Linked DNA regions of Struthio camelus. The protein of the gene in region 3 interacts with the protein of the main gene of each other region in a biochemical or structural test. Links are inferred from orthologs where the notes say so. Each region holds a gene or a part of one and is shown on either strand. Other genes may lie near its edges.

Region 1 (8,032 bases), on a different chromosome or scaffold from region 3:
CGGGCCCTGCCCGCCCCGGGGACCCGCGGGGCTCGGTGCCGGTTCCCCCCCCGCAGGCCCGTTCCCGCCCGGCGTTACCATGGCAGCGGCGCGGCGGGGCCCCCCGCCCACGCGCGCGGGCCGCGGCGGCCCAGGCCCGGCGGCGGCGGGAGGCGGAAGTGCGGCGGCGGCGGCGGCGGGGCCGGGACGCGAACCCGCGGCCCCGCCGGGCGCTGCCCCTTTAAGGGGCCCGGCTCGGCGCCGCTCTGCGCCGGCGCCCGGGCTCCCGTCGGCGGGCAGTTATGCCGCGGCTTGTCTTAAAGGGGAGGTGGCAGGAGGCCTGCCGCCGCCGGGGGCTGCCCGTCCGTCCGTCCGTCCGTCCCGCCCGTCTGCCCATCCTGGGCACCCTGGGGCCCTCTCTCGGCCCTGTGTCCGTCCGTCCGTCCGTCCGTCCGTCTGCTCGCCCAGCCATCCCTCTCTCCAGCCGCCTGCTTGTCCAGCTGTCCGTCCGCCCCGTCCGTCCGTCCCTCCATCCCACACATCACCCCCCCGTCCAGCCATGCTGCATGCCATCCGTCCGTCCTGCCTGTCCCTCTGCCCGCCTGCCTCGCCAGCCCGGCCGTCTGTCTGTCCATCCCGCCTGTCCCTCTGTCCCTCTGCCTGGCTGTCCATCCGCCCGTCCTGCCTGTCCCTCTGCCCGCCTGCCTTGCCAGCCTGGCTGTCTGTCTGTCCGTCCATCCTGCCTGTCCCTCTGTCCCTCTGCTCGCCCACCCCACCAGCCCGTCTGTCCATCCATCTGTCTGTCCCTCCTGTCCCTGTGTCCCTCTGCCCACCAGCCTGGCCGTCCATCTGTCCGTCTGTCCCACCTGTCCCGCTGCCCGTCCGCCCCGCCAGCCCAGCCATCCGTCTGTCTGTCCATCCCGCATGTCCCTGTGTCCCTCTGCCCGCCCACCCCGCCAGCCCGGCTGTCTGTCCGTCCATCCCAACCTGCCCCAGACACCAGGGGGACTTGCGGCCCCGCAGCCTCCCCGGCTGGAGCAGCCCCCGTGTGGGGTGCAGGCTGCTGTGCAGGGTGCTGTGCGGGGTGCATGGGTCCCTTGCAGTGTGCGTGGGCCCCTGCAGGGTCCCCATGTAGGGTGCAGAGCCCTGTGCAGGATCCCCTTGCAGGGTGCCCAGGTCCCATGGGGGGTGCATGGCCGTATGGGGGGTGCAGGGTCCCCCTGCAGGGTGCCCAGGTCCTGTGCAGGGTGCATGGCTCCGTGCGGGGTGCAGAGTCCCCGTGCAGGGTGCCCAGGTCCCATGGGGGGTGCATGGCCATATGGGGGGTGCAGGGTCCCCATGCAGGGTGCCCAGGTCCCATGGGGGGTGCGTGGCTGTATGGGGGGTGCAGGGTCCCCGTGCAGGGTGCACAGGTCCCATGGGGGGTGCGTGGCTGTATGGGGGGTGCAGGGTCCCCGTGCAGGGTGCGCAGGTCCTGTGCAGGGTGCATGGCCCCATGTGGGGTGCAGAGTCCCCATGCAGGGTGCCCAGGTCCCATGTGGGGTGCATGGCTGTATGGGAGGGGGGTGCAGGGTCCCCCTGCAGGGTGCCCAGGTCCTGTGCAGGGTGGATGGCTCCGTGCGGGGTGCAGAGTCCCCATGCAGGGTGCCCAGGTCCCATGGGGGGGGTGTGTGGCTGTATGGGGGGGGGGGTGCAGGGTCCCCATGCAGGGTACACAGGTCCCATGGGGGGTGCATGGCCCTATGTGGGGTGCAGGGTCCCCATGCAGGGTGCCCAGGTCCCATAGGGGGTGCGTAGCTGTATGGGGGGGGTGCAGGGTCCCCGTGCGAGGTGCATGATCCCCTGGGCAGGGTGCGTGGCCCTGTGCGTGGGTCCCTGTGCAGGGTGCATGGCCCCGTGTGGGGTGCAGAGGGCCCATGTGGGGTGCAGGGTCCCGGTGCCGGGTCTGTGGTGCCGTGCGGGGTGCGTGGCCAGCGGCCCCCTCACCCTTGGGTGGGGGCGGGCACGTTTACGTGCGAGCGGGCGCTTGTGCGTAGCTGCGGTGCGTGGCCATGCGTGTGCACCTGTGTGCCTGCAGCTGTGCACACGTGTGCGTGCACGCGTGTGTGCGCGCGCAGCGCCCGCCCGGCGCGGTGCGGGGCCGTCCCCGGGGGCGCTCGCTCGCTCGCGGTGACTCACCGCATCCTCATCCACATCCGCGGCCGCGCCGTGATTCATCCCTCGGCGGCCCCTGCCCGACGCGCGCCCCGCGCGCTGCACACCCTGTAAACAGTACACCGCGCGCGCTGCACACCCTGCCAACAGCGCAATGCACACGCAGCACACCGCGCGTGCTGCAACAGTGCACCGCACACGCAGCGCACCGCACGTGGTGTCCGGGGTGGGGGCTGTTACGGGGAAACAGAGCCCCTGCTCCCCCCCTTCCAAGTGCACCCGTTTGCACACACCAGCCTCCTGTGCGCGTCCCTGCAGGCAGTTGCACGCCGGTGCACCGCAGACGTGCACGTGCGTGCACCCTCGCTTGTGTGCACTTGCACGCTGGCCTGTTGTATGCATGCTTGTTTCCGTGTGCAACTGTGTGGCAGCCTCCTGTGCGTGCACGCCGAAGTGCGTGTGGCTGCACACCAGCCTGCTGCATGTGAGCGCTGGCACACGTGTGCTGTTCCACGCCAGGCCGTTGTGCGTGCACACTCACTTGCATGTGCTGTTGCCCATCAGCCTGCTGCACACGCATGTGCAGCTGCACGGTAGACTGCCACACACACGCAGTCGCACGCGTGTGCCACTGCAGGCCAACCTGTTGCATGCACATTCAAACACGCACAGCTGCAGGCCAGCCTGTCGCACATACTTGTTGCCACACGTGTGCAATTGCACGCCAGGCTTGCACATACGCAATCGGACACGGGCAGCTCTACCCTAGCATATCACGCGTCTGCTCACACGTGTGTGCTGCTGCTTGCTAGCCTGTCCCACGCTGACAAGTGCGATTGCACACCAGTTCTTGTGCACGTGCACTCCCAGGTGTGTGCCATTGCACACCAGCCTGTTGCACGCAACTCATGCTTGCTCAGATGTGCGTGCCAGCTTGTGGCACACACACAGCCTCACACGTGCGCTATTGCATGTCAGCCCATGGTGTGTACGTGCATACACACGTGTGCCTTTGCATGCCAGCCTCTGGCGAGCATGCACACACGTGTGCTGTTGCACACCTGCCTGTGGTGTACACACACACAGGTGCTATTGCACGCCAGGCTGTGGTGCATGCACACAGATGTGCGCTGTTGCATGCCAGCCCCATGGTATACACACGCATGCCATTGCCTGCCAGCCCGCAGTGCATGCACACATGCACGCACGCACACCAGCCTGCAGTGCACAGATGCATATGTGTGCCATTGCACGTCAGCTCACAGCGTGTGCATGCATGCACACTCATGCACACACGCAATTGTGCTGTTGCATGCCAGCCTGCAGCGCGTGAACACACAAGTATGCCGTTGTGTGTGAGCATGTGCACACACACACGTGTGCCGTTGCACGCCAGCCTGGACTGCATGCACACACAGGGTGCCATTGCACGCCAGCCTGCAGTGTGCACACACACACGTGCCGTTGCACACCAGTTTACAGTGCATGCACGCGTACACGTGCGCTGTCGCACGCCAGCCTGCAGTGCGCGCACACACACACACGCGTGTCATTGCACACCAGCCCACAGTGCACACGCACGCCCGTGTGCCGTTGCACGCGAGCCCGCGGTGCGCGCTCCCGCGCGCGCCCCCGCGGGCCCTTTAAGGCGCGCGCCCGCTGCCCCGCAGCGCCCCGCCCCCGGGGCGGGCGGGCGGGAGGGGAGGAGGAGGACGGCGGGGAGGGGGCGGGAGGGAGGCGGCGGCGGGGCGGGGGGGGGGGAGGGGGCGGTGGCGGCGAGGCTATTTTTAGCGCAGGGTTCCGTCACGTGACGGCGAGTGACGTCACCGAATGTTGTTGTCGGGGCGGGCGGGGCCGCGCGGCGAAGATGGAGGGGCGGCGGGGCGCGCGCGGGGCGGCGCGGCCGGGCCGGGCGCGCGGCGGGCGGCGCGCGGGGCCCCGCTAGGCGCCGGCACCGCGCAGGTAACGGCCCCGCGCGCCGGGGGGGGTGGGGGGGTGCGGCGTGCACCGGGGGGGGGTGCGGCGTGCACCGGGGCGGGGGCGCCGTGCAACGCGGGGAGCATGTAATGGCGTTTTTTTTTTTTTTTTTGGGGGGGGGGGCACCGCGCACTGGCGATGTGGCGGGGGGGCCGCCGTGCACCGCTGGATGCGCTGGGCGATGCCGCGCGGGGGGGGGGGGGGGACACACACACGCACCGTGCAGCGCGCGTTATGCCGGGCGAGGCGAGAGGGGGGGCCCCGTGCAATGCGGCGGGGGGGGGCCCGTGCCCCGGGGGTTGCGCCGTGCAATGCGGTGGGGGGTGGCCGTGAAATGCGGGGCGGGGGGGGAGGCCCGTGCAATGCCGGAGGGGGGGGGGCTATGCAATGGTGGGTGGGGGGGCCGTGCAATGCCGGGGGGGCCCCCGTGCATCCGCGCCGCCGCTGTGCGTGGGGCCCGGGCCGCAGAGGGGCTGTTTGCAAACGCATGTTTGGGGGGGGGGTGTTGCACCGGTCTCGGCTCTATCGCTGACCGCCCCCCACCCCAAACCTGCCACGGGTGCGGGGTCCCCCCGATGCAGGGTCGCGGCCGCCGCTGCCCCGCGCGTGTCCAGCCGCTGCCCCGCGCGCGGCCGCCCCCCCCCCCCTCCCGTTTCCCTGCGGAGCCTTGTGTAACGCGGCGGCCGCCACCGTGGCCTCGCGGCGGGCGCTCGGCCGGGCCGCTGACGGCGCTCGCCTGCCTTCCCTCCCGCAGGGCCTCCTCGGGGCATGGCGCAGCGGTGCTGAGGCCGCTCGGCCGAGCCGCCCGCCTCGGCCTCCTGCGCGACGTCCCGTCCCGTCCCGCCGGCCGCCATGGACTCCCGGAGCGACGCAGGTGAGCGCCGGCGGGGCGGGATCCCCCCCCCCCCTTTGCCCACCTGCCGCCGGCCCGGGGTGGGGGGCTCCGCCGCTGCCCCCGTCCTCTTTACCCCATCTGCGAAATGGGTTCAGGGACCCCGCAGCCGCTCGTCGGCCCGGCCCGGCCCCTTCCCTCCCTTTCTGCTCCCGCTCCGCCGTCCTCCCCCCTCTTCTTCCCCCGTTTGGATCGAGCCGGGCTTTTCGGATGGTGCTTTTGGGAGCCGAAGCCCGGCGGCTTGAGCTTGGGCGGCTGCTGCTCGGCGGGCCGCGTGTGATGAGCTGGGCAGGTCTCAGCCCGGCGTCGCCAGGCTCCCGTCCGTCCCGGGCACCTGGTGGCCGAGACCGGGTCGGGGTCCGCGATGCTCTTCGGATGCTTGATGCACCCCAGGGTGGGATTTGGGGGGGGGGAGCGCTCTCTGCTTGCACCCGTTTTCCCAGTTCAGCCCCAAAGCCGGGGTGGAGGGGGGGGGCGGTGCGTGCCGCGGGGGTCCGGCGGCCGGCGAGGGCTCGTTCCCGCGGCCTCCTGCCCGACGGCGGTGCCAAAAATAGCTCCGCTGACGTCAAGCCCCAAAGCGCCCCGGCGGGCGGGGGGCCGGGGTTGGGGGGGGGGGGCGGCACGGGGGGAGGCGTCCCATAAATATCCCGGCTATTAAAAGTCTCAGGCTCGGATTAAACACGCTGGTAAATAAACGTGGCTGCCTGCTGGGGGGGGGGGGGTTTACGCACGGCCCCCCCCCGCGGGGGGGGGCGGCAGTGGGACGTGTGGCTCGTGGGGGTCCCCGTCGTGTGCCCCCCCCCCGGGAGCGTGAGCCGGTTCACGTCACTGATCCGGCAGAAAACGGCTCCCGGTTTCGGCTGTCGGCGCCACTGGGGGTTTGGGGGGGGGTCCTGGGGGGGGGTGTTAATCCCCCTCGGTGCAACCAGGATGTTATTCCTGGCAGCGCTGATGCGGATTAACGTCCCGAGCAATTAGGGTCTCCTTGGGGGGGGGGGGACACAACACACCACCGGGAGCAATTTAGGGGCTGGGGGTGCCGGGGTGACCCTGCTGGGCGATGGGGCGTGGGGGGGCCGGAGCGGCACCCGTGGGGGCGGCCGTGCCCGCGGGACCCTGCTGCGGGCTGGGACCCCGGCGCGGGGTGGGGGGAGCCTGGTCCCCGACCCCCAGCCAGCGGCTGGGGCAGTGGCGAGCAGTGATTTGTTCCCCCCCCCCACCCCCATCTCAGCGCTGCATTTGGGGGGATTTTGCATTGTACCCAGCACGTCCCCCCGCCGTGCCGGAGCCGGCGGGTGCTGGTGCCGGCGGGCGTCCCCGGAGCCCGGCTCCCCTAGCGCGCCACCCTATTTATAGCTGGCTCCTCCCGCGCTCCCGCTATTTCCAGCGGCCCCCAGGGCCCCCCCCCCCCGGGCCGCGGAGAGCGGCACGCCGAGCCCCGGCAGGGCAGCGTGGGGCGGCCGAACCCGCCGGCGCGCTCGCCGGGCCCCTTGCCCTGGGCGCCGCGGCGCGCCGCCGACCCTTTCGGAGGGGCGCTCGCCTTTCGCCGCCGGCCCGCCCTGGAGCTGCTGTCCCGCGCGCAGCTCCGCGCCGCCCTGCCCGCCGCAGGTGAGTGCCGCCGGGGGGGGGGGCGGGTGGGTGACCCCCATCCCCGCGGCGCTCCGAGGTGCCCCGCGCCGCCGCTTGCCGCCCGCCTGCTTCTTGCCGCGGGAACCGCTTGGCCCTTTTTCCCGCGGCGCCGCGCGGTGCCCCCCACCGCCGTCCCGGCCCGCTGCCTCCTCCTCGCAGCCGGTGCCCGGGGCCGGCGCTCGCCGCCTGCCAGCGGCTAAGAATACCCGGCGGGTATTTTTAGAGCTGGATCTCTAAGCCGCTTATCTCTGCCAGGCGGCTTTGAGCAGCCCGGAGCGAACGCTGCCGGCGCGGCGCTGCGAGGAGGGGGCGGCGATGGGGGGGGGGGTTTCCCCGCGTCCTCCCTGCCCGTTTGGGGTGGTGGGTTGGGGCCGCGCGCCTGGCGCTGTACGCGGGGCCGAGCGCAAGCGCTGGGCTTCGCTCGGCTCCGGGAAGCCCCGGGTCAACCGGGGTTCTGCAGCCTGGGGGGGGGACACGGCGGCACGTGGGTGCCCAGGGGGACGGTGGCAGGACGCCGTCCTCGCTGCAGTCTCGCCCGGGGTTTGGTGCGCGGCACGGTGGGCTTGGTGGCAGCGCTGCCTCTGCTGTGGGGGGCTGAGCCGCGGGCCCCCCCGGCACGGACTCGGCCCCGGAGACACGTGTGCACGAGGGGACCGGCTCTCCTTGCACAGGCGTGCACGCAGGGGGTCTGGCTGTCTTGCGTGGGTGTGCACGAGGGGACCGGCTCCCCTTGCACGGGCGTGCACGCAGGGGGTCTGGCTGTCTTGCGTGGGTGTGCACGAGGGGACCGGCTCCCCTTGCCCGGGCGTGCACGGAGGGGGTCTGGCTGTCTTGCGTGGGTGTGCACGAGGGGACCGGCTCCCCTTGCCCGGGCGTGCACGCAGGGGGTCTGGCTGTCTTGCGTGGGTGTGCACGAGGGGACCGGCTCCCCTTGCACGGGCGTGCACGGAGGGGGTCTGGCTGTCTTGCGTGGGTGTGCACGAGGGGACCGGCTCTCCTTGCACGGACGTGCACGGAGGGGGTCTGGCTGTCTTGCGTGGGTGTGCACGAGGGGACCGGCTCTCCTTGCACGGGCGTGCACGGAGGGGGTCTGGCTGTCTTGCACGGGTGTGCACGAGGGGACCGGCTCCCCTTGCCCGGGCGTGCACAGGGGCGGAGCTGGCTCTCCTTGCACGGGTGGGCATGAAGGGGTCTGGCTCTCCTTGCACGGGTGTGCGCGGGGTCGGCGCCGGCTCTCCTTGCTCAAGTGTGCACGAGGAGCCTGACTCCCCTTGCATGGGTGTGTGTGGAGGGGACCGGCTCCCTGTGCACGGGTGTGTGTGGTGTTGGAGCTGGCTCTCCTTGTGCGAGCGTGCACGAGGGGTCTGGTTCCCCTTGCACAGGCGTGCGCGGGGTTGGCAC
Region 2 (7,390 bases), on a different chromosome or scaffold from region 3:
CGATAAGAGCATTTGCTAAGGAGTGTGCCATGGCATGTAAATGGGCAGTCTGCATACCATGAGTTATGCGGCAACTTTCATTTGGCCTGTTAACAGCCACCTGTGCAGGTGGCATGGAAAAGCTGAGCTGCAGTTTGCTTTGAGAGCAGAGGTGAATGCCAGCAGTGGGGTGTGCACATTGGCATGGACCACAGGGCAGATCCCAGCCTCCGGTGCCCAGCCCTGTTCCAGGCGATCCCAGAGGAGTGGCTGGGGGAGCTGGAGGCTGGAGCAGCCACTGCTTTCCCCGTGCACCATCTTCTCATGCCGCAAGCAAGGGCCCCGGAGGAAACAGGCCAGCAGAGCACTTTAGGGAAGATGGCTTCACGAGGCACAGCCACAGAGCGAAAGGAATGCAGGAACCCGGAAAGAAGATCGTGTTTGTACTTGGATTTGTTTTCTACGTGGTTTTCAACATACCGCTGCAAGGAGAGGAGATGAAAGGGATCTGTAAACAACTTTATCTTTCCCAGGGTGTTTCCTTGATATATTGGACAAGGCTTTGAGCTTGGCTTCTGTCTTGGTTCTTCTTGAATGGCTAGTTTTTTTCAGCCATTTTTCTCCTCTGTTTGCAAAAAGTCTTTTCAGACAGTGGCCAGAGAGAAGGGCAGTTTGGAGAACAGGAAAAAAAATGTGTTTGTAAAGCCACTGAAACTGGCACAGGCCCAGGGCCAGGAATAGCACCTGAAACCACTCTGACACTGGCAGGGTAACAGGCTGGCAGTGTTTGCCCAATTTCAGCCAGTTAGCAAGGGCTGACCTGTCTTGAGCAAGTCTTGAAGCCGTTTCCAGGGCAAAACAACACTTTTATTGACCTCAGCATTCCCATAAAACACAGCAGCCGTGCTGAAGCCTTGATGGGCTATGGATGGAAGCAAGGCAAAGCTGCAAAAGCAGCAGTATCAGCTGCTTGATCAGATAAGAAGAGGGGCAAGGCTTCAGGGCACACCAGCCTTCTTGCAGGTCTTCCTAGGGTCTCATTAGTAGAGCCTGAATGCTTGAAAGATGATTCTTAATATGTTTGAAAGCGCATGGGTTTTTTTTGGTCCTGTACCCCTGTTAAGAGAGTTGCTTCTCCCGCACAAGGGTCTTGGTGGCAACGGTGCTGTGGCTAGGAGAGGGCCAAGTTCTATGGCTGTCAGCCACAGCTGGCTTCTTTGCTCCCCAGATGCGAGGGACGTGGGGCAGCAAGGCAGACAGTATACAGGTAGGACGAGGCAGGCATGCGTGCAGAATCTTGAGCTTCAGAGCAGGTGAGCTTGTAACGCCCACATTAATGGAAGCCAGTAGAAGGTCTTCAGGCCATGAGGACTGCTGGTGACCGCAGGAGGGCTTTGAGAGGCAGATGGGAGAGGCTGGGAGGAGGCAGACAGGAATGACAGCTGCTAAAGGTTTGCTGCTTAAGAGAAAGAGGCCAACAAACACTGGCCCTGCCCTGTCCCAGGGGCACAAATGAAGGATTTCAGGGTCTGCTTTGTACCTCTGAGCAGGAAATAGAGGGAAAAGCCATCCCACTCCTTTGCTACTAGTAGGCTCAGCTGCTGGTCCCACTGGTCACTAGTCCCATTAAGGCTGCTTCTGTGCCTAGGCACCAGTCAGGAAATCTGGGGACTCGAACCTGGTTCACCAGGCAAAATGCTGGGCTCAGACACATAAGACTTGACACATCTCATCATGTCACCCCCAAGAGCTGCACAGCCCAGCCAGGAGACTGTACTACCAATGTTATGAAGTCTTTCAGGTCTCTTTGCATGAGCCACAGCCTCAAAATACAACCCTTTACAACTGCCCACCCTTTGAGCCAGAGACATAAACATTTTGTGAGGGTTCAGGAGTGCAGTAAAAAAAGTCGTCTTCACAAATGATGTGACCTGCTGCCTTCCTATCCTAACTTGCTCACTGGCTTTTTATTGTGCCAGGGAAGTCAGCAAACACACCTCCCACATATCCCATGCATCAACTCTGTAGAACCTCCTGGGGGGATTTTGGCGGAACGTGTCAGGGAACTACCAGGGAAGCAAACCCCTTCCCGAAGCAGTTACATAACTGGGAAGCAAATAGCATGGGAGTCTTCAAGGCAACCAATACCTTCATCTGTCAGAGCAGCAGGAATCACTGGGTTGTGATGAACTCATCTTGTCTGCACTAGCAGTTCTGGCCTCCAAATACTTTAAGGCTGATGATGACTGGAGGAGCCGGAAGGAACACCATCCAGCAAACAATTGCAAAAGTCAAGTCTGAGCAAGAAGGAGGGTGTGTGTGCGGGGGTTGCCAAATCCGGAAGTATTCCTTGGAAACAACAACAACAATCACAGGAATATTTAATCACGCTACTACAGTGCCTTGCTGAACCGAAACTGGCACCAGGGTTCGGGGCTTGGGAATTGGAGCTGCCACGAGGAATAATCAGGGGGATGTGGCCATCCCAAATGCAACCTGGAACAATGCAAAGCTGCTCTACTTGCCCAACATTTGGCGTCATCACTGTTTTCTAGCCTGTCACCTGGGATGAAAATGAGGCCAAATACAATAAGAGCCAAAGTGATTCCCAGCATGATAAAAGAGATGGATCAAAACACAGCCAGCCCCTAAACAGAAACACCACAGACCGGAACTAAGGAAAAGAGCACCATGAGGCCAGGAGCTCGGAAATTGGCTGAGTAAGTTGGGTTCATACAGGATTGTGTGATGAAGCTATGAATCAACCTGTTTAATGGGTTCTCCATCTAGGCACAAAGGTGGCTCGAGGTCTTCTATACTCTAACCAGAAAGATCTCCACCATCTTCGTAGACTGCCCTAGAGTCCCTCCTCCAATTTAGGGTGGCACCAGGGTAAAGTGCATGTGGGTGAAATTCTGTCCCCTAACAGGGTGTCATCCTCATTGCTAATGGCAGAAACAGGTTAACAGCCCTGAACATGATTTCTTGCCTCCTGTGTGATGTTCTTCTTGCAGGGTGAACTTACTGGAGACCCTTATTCCTCCTAATATCTTCTGGGCTGTTTCTGAGCACTAATCTTCTGATCTCAGCAACATCCTGTGGCAGTGAGTTCCACAGTGCAATGGTTCATGCTGAATCCTCAGTGATCTCTTCTCTTCCTGCCTTGCACGAGAGGAGAGAATAGAAGGTTTCCAATCCACTTTTTCTAAACCATTTGTTCTCCTCTACAGTTTTAGTACAGCACCTCTTACTGTTTCCAGCTCTAACTGTTGGACTACAGAGCTTCCTTGGCCTCTCCACAAAATAGTCTGTTCCTGTTGTTGAGCTGACAGCGTGCACAGCACTTCTCACCCCTCTGCTAACCGCAGTGGTGGTGTTATCAGTGTGACTGGGAATGAAGGACCTCTCGTCTCTGCCAATGCCTGTGCTGGGGGGTTGCAGCCATGGGAGGCCTCCAGCAGCTCTTCTGTGCATGCTGCAGGATCCAGCCGCCATGAAACATGTGTTCCCTCCACTGCAACAGAGCAGAAATCCCACCGGGGAGCATGAGGAGCAGCTGGGCAACCTCTCTGACTCCATCTGGCTTCCATGCAGGCCACCACGCCAGACAAGGTGTCAACAATGCCCATCCTGACCCCACGGTAGAGCAGGGGGCCCGCGGCCCAGGAGGTGGCAGGATGCCCTATAGCCTGCCCATCTGCGTGACACTGAAGCAATGAGGCGCGGGGGCTTCGCAGTAGGGCTGCCGCAGGGCTGAGGTCGACAGCAGGGCAGAGGCCCTGGCCTAGGGGTGCCCCTGCTCATCTCCCCCACCAAGGAGACAGCACCCTGGGAGCCGGCGTGCAGCTGCCTTGCCGCGGCCCCTCTCGGCTGCTGGGAGCGGCCGGCTGTGGTCCCGCGCCCCGGAGCACGGGCTGCCTCGGCTCGCTGTGGCCGGCCTGTCCCGCCCCGGGCAGCGCCGCCGCAGCCGCAGCCGGAGCCGGAGCCGGAGCCGGAGCCGGAGCCGGAGCCGGAGCCAGGCGCAGGGGCAGGGGCAGGCGCAGGGGCCGGGGCAGGGGCAGGGGCAGGCGCAGGGGCAGGGGCAGGGGCAGGCGCAGGGGCAGGCGCAGGGGCAGGGGCAGGCGCAGGGGCAGGGGCAGGCGCAGGGGCCGGGGCAGGGGCAGGCGCAGGGGCCGGGGCAGGGGCCGGGGCCGGGGCAGGCGCAGGGGCAGGCGCAGGGGCCGGGGCCGGGGCCGGGGCCGGGGCCGGGGCAGGGCCGTGGCCCCGCCAGCGGGGCGTGGAGAAGCGCAGCCCCGCCTGGGCCCGCCCCGCTGCCCGCTGCCTTCTACCCGCGGCGGGGCCGGGCGCGCCGAGAGTTGCAGTCGGTCCGGGGCCGAGCGGAGCACGTGGTCGCGGGGCCGGAGCGGGGCCGGGGCTGGGAAAAGGCTTCCGCGGCTTTCAGGAGGCGTGTGCCGGCAGGGCAGCCATGGACGGGCGGGTGGTGGTGGTGATCAACGCGCTGCTGGCCGCAGGTGAGAGTCGCGGGAGGAGCGGGAGCGGATGTGGGCTTCGGCGCGCCTGGCCTCGCTGACCGTGCCCTGTTCCCTGCGCAGTGTGCGCCGCGGCGGCGGGCGGGCTCGGCCGGGACGTGCTGCACAACGAGGTGCTCCACAAGGACGGCGGTGGAGGGGCCCCGGTCCCGGCCACGGCGCCGCTACTCCGCGGCAGCCCCGAGAAGGAGGGCGGCGGAGTGGCCTCGGGGGACGACTTCAGCGAGCTGCCGAGAGGTACCAGCGGGGGCAGGCTGGGGCCTGGGGCGGGCGGGAGCGCGGGCTGGGAGCCGGCCCCCGCGGCGAGCCGGGGCTGGCTCGGGGGGGCTCAGGTCGGGTCGGTCCGCACCGGCGCCCCGGGGCGGGAAGGGCCTCGAGCGTCGGGTACGGAGCGGGCTGAGGGGGACCCGGGTGGCGTCGGATATGGACAAGGAGAGAGGGGGACCCGCTTCGGGTTGAGATCCCAGTCTGGGCAGGGAGAGCTCGGCTTGGTTCAGATATGGATTTGCTTTGGGTCCTGGTCCAGTTTGGGGCCGGAGGCAGTGTGGGTTCGGTGCCAAGCCTGATTTGAATCCAAATGCTCACTGGGTGTTGGTGCAGATCTGGAGCTGGCGGGGGCAGGCTTGGCCCAGTTTCAAGGGGGAACATGTGAGGCTGGAGCAGCCCTGTGCCCCCTGGGTGGCAGCTCTAGCTCTCTGTGGGCTGCCTCAGGGGAGGCCACCATCGCCGTCTGGGTGACAGTGGGCTGGATCCAATGCCTGGGCTGGGCACGAGGGTACTGCTTGAGAGCTCCCAGTACCCCAACACCCTGCATGTGCACCTTGCCTTGCCCCATGCTGTGGCACCCAAAGGTGTCCCTGCCCCATGGTGCCAGCCCTGGGTGTGGGGCAGGGTGGGAGCCCTGGGCAGCAGGCAAGAGCCCAGGACTTGTAGCTGTAGGTCAGGGCAGTTGGGTTTTGGCAGCTTTGCCTGAGGGGGGTGTCCCTGGTGCCCCTAGCATGGCAGTCCCAGGGGCTCCCAAGCAAGGGGGCAGGAGCCATGATCCCACAGTCCCTGGGTCGTGCCCTACAAGTGAGAGCTGTGCCCCAGGAAGGGAGAGCCCTCTGATGCATGTGGCACCCCTTGCCCACAGGTGTTCAGTCCTGGGCTGGGTGCGTATGCCTGTTTGGACTATGCTGCCTTCCAGATAGTGGCAATGGTGGCTGCTGGGGAGGGGACCACTGTGACTCACCCGTCGCCCACACACGGCTGCTCTTCATACCTAGCTGGGGTTAGTCACCCAGCGGTCCCTTCTACGGAGGCGTTGGGGACACTGCCTCTCTGTTAGGCTCTGTGCATTCATGCTTGGCTCCTCTCCCCTGGGTTGGGACCAGAGCATGTCCTGGTGCCTCTTGTGGGGGGTCGTGCCCATGGGGTGAGATGGGACCCATCACAGCGTGGGAAGGGTGACTGAGCCTATCTGGCCTTGCAGGTGTGGCATGCTGAGATTGGTAGCCTAGCACCAGGAGGATTGAGCTCTACTCTGTGTAGTTCACCCTCCCATCTTTTCTCATTTTTCCTCTTTGCTTTCTGGCTGTCTGGTCCTGTCAGACTGCGATGCTAGCACCTGGCTTTGCAAAACCAGGCTGATCACTCATGTCTGAGGGTATTCTGCCCTCGGGAAATGCTCCTTTTCTTGATGGGAGATGCAGTAGGAGAGCAAAGAGATGCTCCCATCTGCCCTCTGGTCCTCCAGGTATCCCTCCAATGAGGAGATCCCACCCTAGAGCAAATGATCTCGCAGGTGTGGGCTGTGAGGAGGGAGGACTGCAGCAGGATAGACTGATGGGGCTCTAGTTTTTGGGGTGGGGGTTATCTGTTGCCAAATCAGCATTGCTAAGTTATAGTCAGAGGAATCTGCCTTTTGTGCCAGAGGCACCTTTCTTTCTGTGCTCCAGCCCTGGGGACAGCAGGTCTTTTCCCCTGTGGCTGGGGTGTCTGTGTGGGGGGCCATCTATGGCATCCCCCTGCCCACCTGGACTGCACCAGTTTCCCCCCCTTCCTACTGGCAAGATCACCCAAATCTTCTGCGGACATGCTGCTTGGAGGACACGGGACAGAGTCCCAGGGACAAGGGTCAATGCCAGAGAAGGGCAGCAGTGAGGGAGGCCAAGGGGTCAGCAGCACCGCTCCTGTCCCTCTGATAGCACATGTCTGCGAGGAGCCCTCTGTGCCACTGGCTGCGGCAGGGAGATAAGCCACAGGGGAGGGGACAGCTACTGCTGCCAGCCTGGGGCAAGTCCTGGGGCCCTGCATCTCACCCGCATCTGGGGGTTTCTCCAAGCCACAGAGTTTCCTGGAGTATCATTTTTCTCCAGGCCTAGCTTGAAGGATGTTGAAGTTGTGAAATAACTTCCTAGGCATGCAAACTAATGGTGCACTGTGGCACGAGAGGTGCTTGCATGGGGAGGAAGGTTACGTACGCTGAGGGCTTGGTTATGTGAGGAAGTTGTTGAGAAAGCATTAGGCATGTTAAAACTTGCCAGGTTAGACTCTGTTGCCCTTTCCCCCTTGTTCCCTCTGTGCAGCACGTGATTTAGTTTGTATTTCCCCAGCCTCGCTGCAGTTCTTAATGCCATGATTGTAGCGGCAGAAAGTGTCTCTCCAAGCAGTGAGTAACTTTTGTGGCACCTTGCGAGATCAAGCTGGGGTTGATTTTTGGCATCTGTCCGTCTTAAACTATTCCAGTAATGTTGCTGGTTTGGCTTTGGGTCTGTGGGGAGCATCTAAGGAGCTTGGCGCTCTGGTTCCCACCGGCCTGCTTAGCCAATTCAGCAGGGAGCTGGCCTTGCACCAAAACCCACCGATTTCTGCGCTACAACTAAAAAATACCTTTATAATTC
Region 3 (7,198 bases):
CGCGACGCGGCGAAAAGTTTGCGCCGCTCGGCTCGGCTCGGCTCGGGGCCGGCGGCAGCGCAGAGCCGGGCCGGGCGCCGCCGCCGCTGCCGCGCCCCGGCCCGACGGCACCGGCGGAGCGGGCGCCCGCGGGGGGCAACGTCCATCAGGTGGCGGGGGCGCCCCCCGCCCCGCTGCGCGCCCCGCGGCCCCGCTCCGCTGCGCTCCGCGCTGCGCGCACTCACGGCGGGCGGCTGCTGCGGCAGTTCGCACTGCCCGCTCTCATCGCCGCCGCCGCCGCCGGCCGCGCCGCGCAGCAAATCACCGCGGCGCCGGCCCCGCGGGCCGCCCCGCGCCCACGTCAGGCCGCCCCCGGCCCGCCCCCGGCCCCGGCCCCGCCGCCGCCGCCCCCGCCGCCCGCTCCATCTTGACTGCTGGCGCCGCCGCCCCGGCCCGCCCCGGCCCGCCCCGACGGGGCCCCGCGCAGCGCCGCCCGCCCGCCGCCGCCGCCGCCGCGGGGCCGCGCAGCCGGGGCGGGGGGGCGGCGGCTGCTGCTGGACAGCGCTCCGCTCCGCCGGCCTCTGCCAACAACAAACATGGAGGCGGCGGCGGCAGCCAATGAAGCGGCGCCGGCGGCGCGGCCCCCCCGGCCGCCACCTGCAGCCCCCGCCGCGCCGTCGGGGCCGCGCCGCCCCCGGGCGCAGGCAGGCAGGCAGGGCGGCCCCCCCCCTCCGCCCCCCCCCCCCCCAAAACAGCCGCTGCCCTCCGCGAACTCCGCGCCTCGGCCCCGGGCGCAGCGCTGCCGCCGCCGCTGAAGGGCTGCGGACGGTGACACCGGGGGGGGGACGGGGACGGGGGGCGCACGTCGGCTCCGTGCAGCGCGTTTGGTAAAAACAAAGACAGGGCGAAGCAGCTGGCCGCCCCCGGCCCGGGCAGGCAGGTGCCGGAGCCTCAGGAGCAGCGCGGAAAGCGCGGCGCGGTTTGCTGCCGCGGCCCCTAGCAGCGAGCGCAGCCAGGAGGCAGCGCGGACGGACAGCCGCCGCCGCCCAGCCCGGGCCGCCCCACGTCCCCACCACCGCCCCACAACGGCATTAGTACAAAGATACCCTTGGGGGGGTAAAGCGGTGCGAACGCAAGCGGCAGAGAATGTTACAGGGAAGTGTGTTTATAATTATAATGGGATTTAATGTACTTTGGGACCAGCTGATAGAGGTCATTTAACAAGAACAGCCTAATCACAGAGGCCTTATAATGAAAGGCGACAGCGCTGAGGTTATTAGATAAGTATTATAATGTAGCATTCGCAGTAGTATAGTTAAGGATAAGGCATCAGCCACCCCCATTTTCCAGGGGTTATAACTCTGCCATTTTAATCGGCAGAAAGCTAAAATTTGGAGTGCCATCAGTCAGCATGAGCGCTGGGTTTTTTTTTTCCTTTTTAATTGCTTAAAACTGCTCGAGTTCCCCCCCCACACACACTTTTAACTCAAAATGAATGGGAGTGGAGAACAGCAAGACAGTGTGGTTTCAGGTGTTTGTTTACCCTCCTCTAACTTTTAAAAGGCTTGATTTCAGAACTGAAATTTTGCAGACAGTTAGGGGTATGTTTTTAGTGTAGCTTGCATGAAATTAAGCTGCATGAGTCCCATTAGCAATAATGGAAATCCCACGGCTAAATTCCCATGCAGCATGCTGAAAATTAACCCCCCAGTCCTTGCTGCGAACTGGTGCATTGCACTTTTTGTTGCTGTTTTAATATATATAATAAAAGCTACCGAGTTGTTTAAGAGACTCGCTTCCTACAGCTACTTTTTTCCCCAGAAAGTATTGGATTGTTGACCCTGAAAGCAGAAATCCTGCCTTTATCCACTGACTAGGTGCATCTTAGGTAGTGATGTGCCTAAATCCTTCAGGGGTTTCAAGCTGTGCCGCAGTGTTTACTGCAGTGGCTCCCGGAGACCCTAGGCAGAATCAAGCCTCTGTTTTACTGTAGGCTGAAAAAATGTGAACTGACTTCGGTTATTCATATGCCTTTTTGTTTTTTGTTTTTTTTCCCTGCTTGCATTGCAATACCATGTAAGAATCTTTAGTTCTAGACATTGCACAAACAGTGCAAAAAAGATGGTGTCCCCCCGCAGAAGAGGGGCAGAAGAGCTGGTCAGAAGCTCTCACCAGAACGTCCTTCTAAAAATCCAAATTTGTCAGTGTATTGCACTCACGGCGTTAAGCCGAGATGACTCAATAGTGGAGAGTTTCCTGCAGCTCAGCCCCCAATAAACTACCACCGCTGAGCACGGTTCAAAACTCACCTGTCTGCCTGCAGCTGGACTTAGAAAAAGCCGAGTCCCCCTCAAACTACCACCGCGGTCTCTCTCCCTGCCCCTCCAGCCAGGCCACCTGGGCTCTGCACACGCTCACCACGGCCAAGAGCCGAGTTGCTTTCCTTGCCTCGACTGTTGAGGCGACAAGTTAATTGAGGCCCCAACCAACTGCTACTTACTCCTTAGAGGTTAAGTAGGAGTTTCAGGGAGTACTAGCACGAGTACTAGTTCCATCAGCTTTCTGCAATACACCAGCCAAGCGCATCTTTGACAACGCCAGAAACAGCTTTTCCCCTCAGAAAGCACACGATTTAGGAGGAGTTGCCCCTGTTTCCTTCCATATGCTTGCAGCCCTCCACGCTCCTGCGCGCACATGGAGCTGGGAAACCCCTTACTAGCCACAAGGCAGAGAGAGTATGAAAAGTATAAAACAGGAAAGAGCCAAAAACTCTTGTCCACAACCTTAAACATCATCGCACTCTCTCCCAGCAAGGCCCCACACTGACAGCGTAGAGGAAACATTAAAAAAATGCAAATTCCTCACTGCACCAGCTCCAGCAAGCATGCTCAAGGCACCTATACCCTCGCTTACAGCAGGTGACTGACTTCCTGTGGAAAAAGAAAGGTCCAACCGCGGAAAGTTCACCCGTCTAAGAGGAGGAACAAACGCGACCACTTGCCTTGGTGTCCCTGCCCTGGAGGGCAGCAGAAACGCAAGGAGCCACCTCCTGCCAGGTTCACGCACCGGACGTGCCGCCTCCAACCTCCTCGCCAGGCTGCAAGTGCTGCGGCTGGGGCAGGGGCGGGAACAGGAGCACCCCCAGGCAGGGCCCCCGCTGCCCCCAGGTGGGCCCCGTAAGGAGGCGGCAGCACCGCCCCAGCCTCCCGCAGCTGGTGCAAAGGGCAGAGCCCAGGCGCTGCCCAGGAGAAATCACCCTCACAAACGGCAGCCTTGGCCCCCGCGGTGGTGTCCCAGCACCCAGCGCGGGAGTTACGGGCTAGTACCCCCAGCAGGGCCCCCCCAGCATATTCCATTTCACTCTCATCTCTCCCCATCAGTTTCCAATTTATCTGCTGTTCTGAAGTTAATCCTCACCTTGTAGTGTGACGTGTTTATTACAGAAGAACCAGCACACTAAACGAAGCCAAGCTGGGTTTCTCCTGTTAAATAGCAGTCACGCCCAAGCGGCTCTCCATGTGCCATTACTCCAAGTGATTGAGGCAATTTCTTCCTCTGCCATGAGTTTAAGTTGTAAATCTCTCAACCAGATACAGAGGCAATGATGTGCTGCCTATTGTGATTATTATTAACCTTTAGCATTAAACTTGTGAGACTTGCACGACGCCTAGAAGCTCTTCACGGGACAGCCACACGTAGCGTAGCGTGCGGGTCCGCATGCGCATCCCTCCCAGGAAACGGAGCGATCGCCGCACAGTAACTTTTTCTCCCGAGTTATTCGTGTATTTTGGATGGGGAGACACAGACATTCACTTTCTTAACATAAATAGCATGGTAAGTGTTTGCAGGCAGACAGAAAGATAAGATTTGCAAACGAAACATGTGCCAAGTTGATGGCCTCTAAGTATTTCAAGGGATAAGGGAAGGCGGTTCCTTGGGCTGCTCCTTGGGCACTCAGCTAGGCATACAGGGACGAAAAGGAGAGGTTAGCCCTGGAGAAAAGGCTTTAGACGCACAAGGTCGTTCCACAGAATTTTCCCAAAACTGCAGCAGAAAAGGGAGTTCCTTGTTTGGGATATGTAGCCCAGCACTCAGGTCTGAAAGCCGCCGGGGAGCGGGGCGCGCTCGGGCTGCCTCGGCTCCGTCAGCCCGCGGCTGCTCCTTCCCCTCCAGCGCGGGGACGGCCCGCGCAGGCGCAGGCTCCTTGCCCCCGCTCTCCACCCCAGAGACGATGACACGACTCCTTATGACTTCTTCAGCCTGCTGAGCCCTACAACGCTTTGGGATGAAGTAAGCCCAACTCCTACAGCTGCACTTTGCTGCGATTTCTTTTACGTCCCCCCCAATACAAGCGAGCAGCTTGGCCTGCCCTAGCTCTGCTCCTGCGCCAAACCGGCGAGGGGGCACCCGCGTCGCACGCAAGCTGCAGAAACGTTAACTTCCCCGCGCTCAGACTAGCGCATTTTGGTATGGGTACCGTTGTGTTCCCTTAGCTGTGGCGGGTTCGGGCAGTTTCCTGGTCTCGCTGCTGTGCGGCCCAATGCTCTAACAGTGGAACGAGGATTTTCGGTGTACCTTAGCGATTTGGGGGCAGGGTGGGAAAGAGCAGCCGTTTTAACCTAAATCATAAAAATCCATGACTTGGGCCATCCCTTTTAAAAGCTGATTTGCGACATTACTCCCAACTCTGGGCGAAGGTTTCAACATGCAAACGCTCGTGCGTAAGCGCACGCGCGACAAGCGCCTGCCCTAGCGCTGTTAGGCACGTCCAGTTCGCTCTGCGACTGAGAGCAGTTCGGCGCTCTGCTGCATATAAGACACACTGACAGGTCATGAAAGAGATGATTAAATGTGCTAGACTTCATTTAAAAAAGAACGCGTCAAGCCGTTTGCGAGGAGGAGCGGGGAGAAGCGCCACGGGCCGGCAGCTCGGGGTGCAGCCCCGGCGCGGCGCTGATCGGCCCCGCGCGCGCCGTGGCCGCACGCGGGAGGAGGGAGTCGTGAGCAGCCCTTCATCGTGCCACCGGCTGCCGTGCCAAGGCAACCGAGAGGGCGCAGCTGCTTTGGGGGACTTTGGGGGCGGCACGATGGTTGGTTGTTTGAAATCCGGGCTCCTTTAAGGAGCATCGCAGCAGAGCAAGAAGCTGGGACCCGAAGTCAGCGCAGCTCAGGCCTTGCCGTGACATTTAGGCTGCAAGCACCTCTGAGTCACACCTAAGCTAGCCCAAAAACCGTGGCTGGCAGCGTTTGCTGCGCAGCGGCGAGGGCTGCGAAAGGCTACAGCGGTGCAATTGCATCAAAAGAGTGAATTAAATTCCCTGCTGGATTTTAAGAACGATGGCTTTTGAGATACCAAGTACCCCCGAAAGGAAACGAGAAACTGCCGTTCCTCCCTCGTAGGCTTTGGCACGCACACGATCGTTTCCAAGGCTTGCAGTTTCCCTGCCCTTTCGCCGTTCCTCCCCCTTGGCCCAGGTTACGCGCGCTGGGAAGCCCGTAAGACAATAAGGCTAATTAGTGGCTTACGGCCCTAAGCCTGCAAACAGCGCGAGCCGGCGGCGAGCTGCGACTGCGGCGGGAGCCGGCGGCGGCCAGCCCGCCTGCATTCCACCCCAAATCCCGGCACAAAGGGGATTTATCCACCGTGACTCAGCGAAGGAGCACAAACTTTACAGCGCTGCAAAACAGGCAGCCAGGCTTTGAACTGGTGTGTTTGTTATATATTGCCCCACCGCCACCACCGCCGCACAGCCTGGTTAGTAATTAAATAAAAATGTCTCCCTCTAGCAGGCGATGACCTAATCATTTGTACAGTACCTATTTTTAGCATTACCCTTTGTATGCATTCAAGACAGCTCGAGCCAGAAGCAGCAACTTCTGAAGCGTTAATAAGCTGGGGTGTGGGGACACTTTGTTTAATTTACTGTGCAATTATTTTTCCTCTTCTCCCCTTCTTTTAACCTAAAATATTTGACATCTCGCACGGGACGGGAAGGAAGATGTGCCAGGACTCTAAATGCCGGCCCGAACCGCACGGCGCCGAGGCGGTCGCGCGTGCGCTGGGTAAATTTCATCCCCCCAAACCCAGGACAGACAAGAGGAGGCCCCAGCACGGCAGTCCGCGGGGGCCGGCCTCATCCTCGGCAATATTAGACCATCTCATTCGAGAGATGCGTTTCTGGATGGTATCCTCCCTTTCCTCTGTGCCCCCGCCCTCGCTTCGGCTTTCCCTGCTCTCCAGAGCGGACATAGCGCTGGGGAAGGGCGATAGTTTCCCTGCAGCACACCAATAATGCTGGCTTTCCCCCAGAACCAGGGTACAGGGCGGTAACTCCCTAAGGGGATGTTCATTCCCCACCGGGCTCGTGCCCAGCTTTGGATACCAACAAGAATTGCAAACTAGTTCTGCAATTCTCATGCTTTCCTGAGCGTGTGATATTAATATATCCTTAACATATTTCTTCAGCTCCTTGCTGCCTTGAAGCAGCGCAGTTCTAGAGCCTCAACGACGCTGGAGCGTAGACCTCGCTTTGGAAAGTGAGTCAGGAACATAACTGGCATTAGCCATCCCATTGGGGAAAAAAAAAAAAAAAGTAAATCTGTATGCTATTTGGATGCTTTTGGCTCAGTTTCATGCTGGAAGGAGCAAGGTGCGTGTGGAGCTCCTGGCCCCAAGCGAACACCTTTACCCCCAGTTCATCCTTCCTCTCCAGCAAGGGCAAAGCTCCGAATCCCATTTCCAGTTGCATGAGTCATCTGTTCCCCTTTTGAAACACGTGTCTGCCAGTGCGCGCGTGTGTATGTGTAGAAGAGGTATTACTATTTTTGACAGTGCAAACAGGCTACAGTTGTGGAAGGTTTTCTCCTCCCCTCCTCTTTTTTCGCATGTGTGTGTGCTAAAGATGCACACAGAGTCCCCACACAGCTGGGGAAGCTTCTGTCCAAGCGGCTCCTCCTCCTTGTCGACTGATCTCCCGCACCAGGAAAAACCTAGGCGACCGAATCTCACACACACACACACACACACACACACAAACCTAGGCAGTTTCTAAAACATTCTGGCAGCCTTACGGAGGTATTTGCATCTCGAAGGAAATCCCCGTTCCTCTCTGCAGCCGTTCCTAACGCCCCTCTGCAAGCCACAGAACGCCAGGACTTACAAGAGAGTCGGAATAAAGTCTGCAGCCAAAAGTCAGTCTAGATCCAAAGTTACATATTA

What was found.
Region 1: the proteins of ZBTB16 (region 3) and HDAC5 form a complex in vitro, tested with the Homo sapiens proteins (2 studies listed by BioGRID). The link is inferred for Struthio camelus from reciprocal best matches to the Homo sapiens genes ZBTB16 and HDAC5.
Region 2: the proteins of ZBTB16 (region 3) and HBEGF form a complex in vitro, tested with the Homo sapiens proteins (2 studies listed by BioGRID). The link is inferred for Struthio camelus from reciprocal best matches to the Homo sapiens genes ZBTB16 and HBEGF.

Annotation. Positions count from the first base shown.
Region 1 is NC_090966.1:4,661,351-4,669,382, forward strand, and holds the start of HDAC5 (histone deacetylase 5), read left to right. Parts: upstream 1-4,947; 5' UTR 4,948-4,962; coding exon 4,963-4,984; intron 4,985-8,032. Other genes in the region: HROB (homologous recombination OB-fold protein), read right to left, coding at 79-81. UniProt on the Homo sapiens protein: Responsible for the deacetylation of lysine residues on the N-terminal part of the core histones (H2A, H2B, H3 and H4).
Region 2 is NC_090954.1:23,590,408-23,597,797, reverse strand, and holds the start of HBEGF (proheparin-binding EGF-like growth factor), read left to right. Parts: upstream 1-4,311; 5' UTR 4,312-4,444; coding exon 4,445-4,490; intron 4,491-4,571; coding exon 4,572-4,745; intron 4,746-7,390. UniProt on the Homo sapiens protein: Growth factor that mediates its effects via EGFR, ERBB2 and ERBB4. Required for normal cardiac valve formation and normal heart function. Promotes smooth muscle cell proliferation. May be involved in macrophage-mediated cellular proliferation.
Region 3 is NC_090963.1:637,209-644,406, forward strand, and holds the start of ZBTB16 (zinc finger and BTB domain-containing protein 16), read right to left. Parts: upstream 3,065-7,198; 5' UTR 2,981-3,064; intron 353-2,980; exon of another isoform or gene 225-352; intron 1-224. UniProt on the Homo sapiens protein: Acts as a transcriptional repressor. Transcriptional repression may be mediated through recruitment of histone deacetylases to target promoters. May play a role in myeloid maturation and in the development and/or maintenance of other differentiated tissues.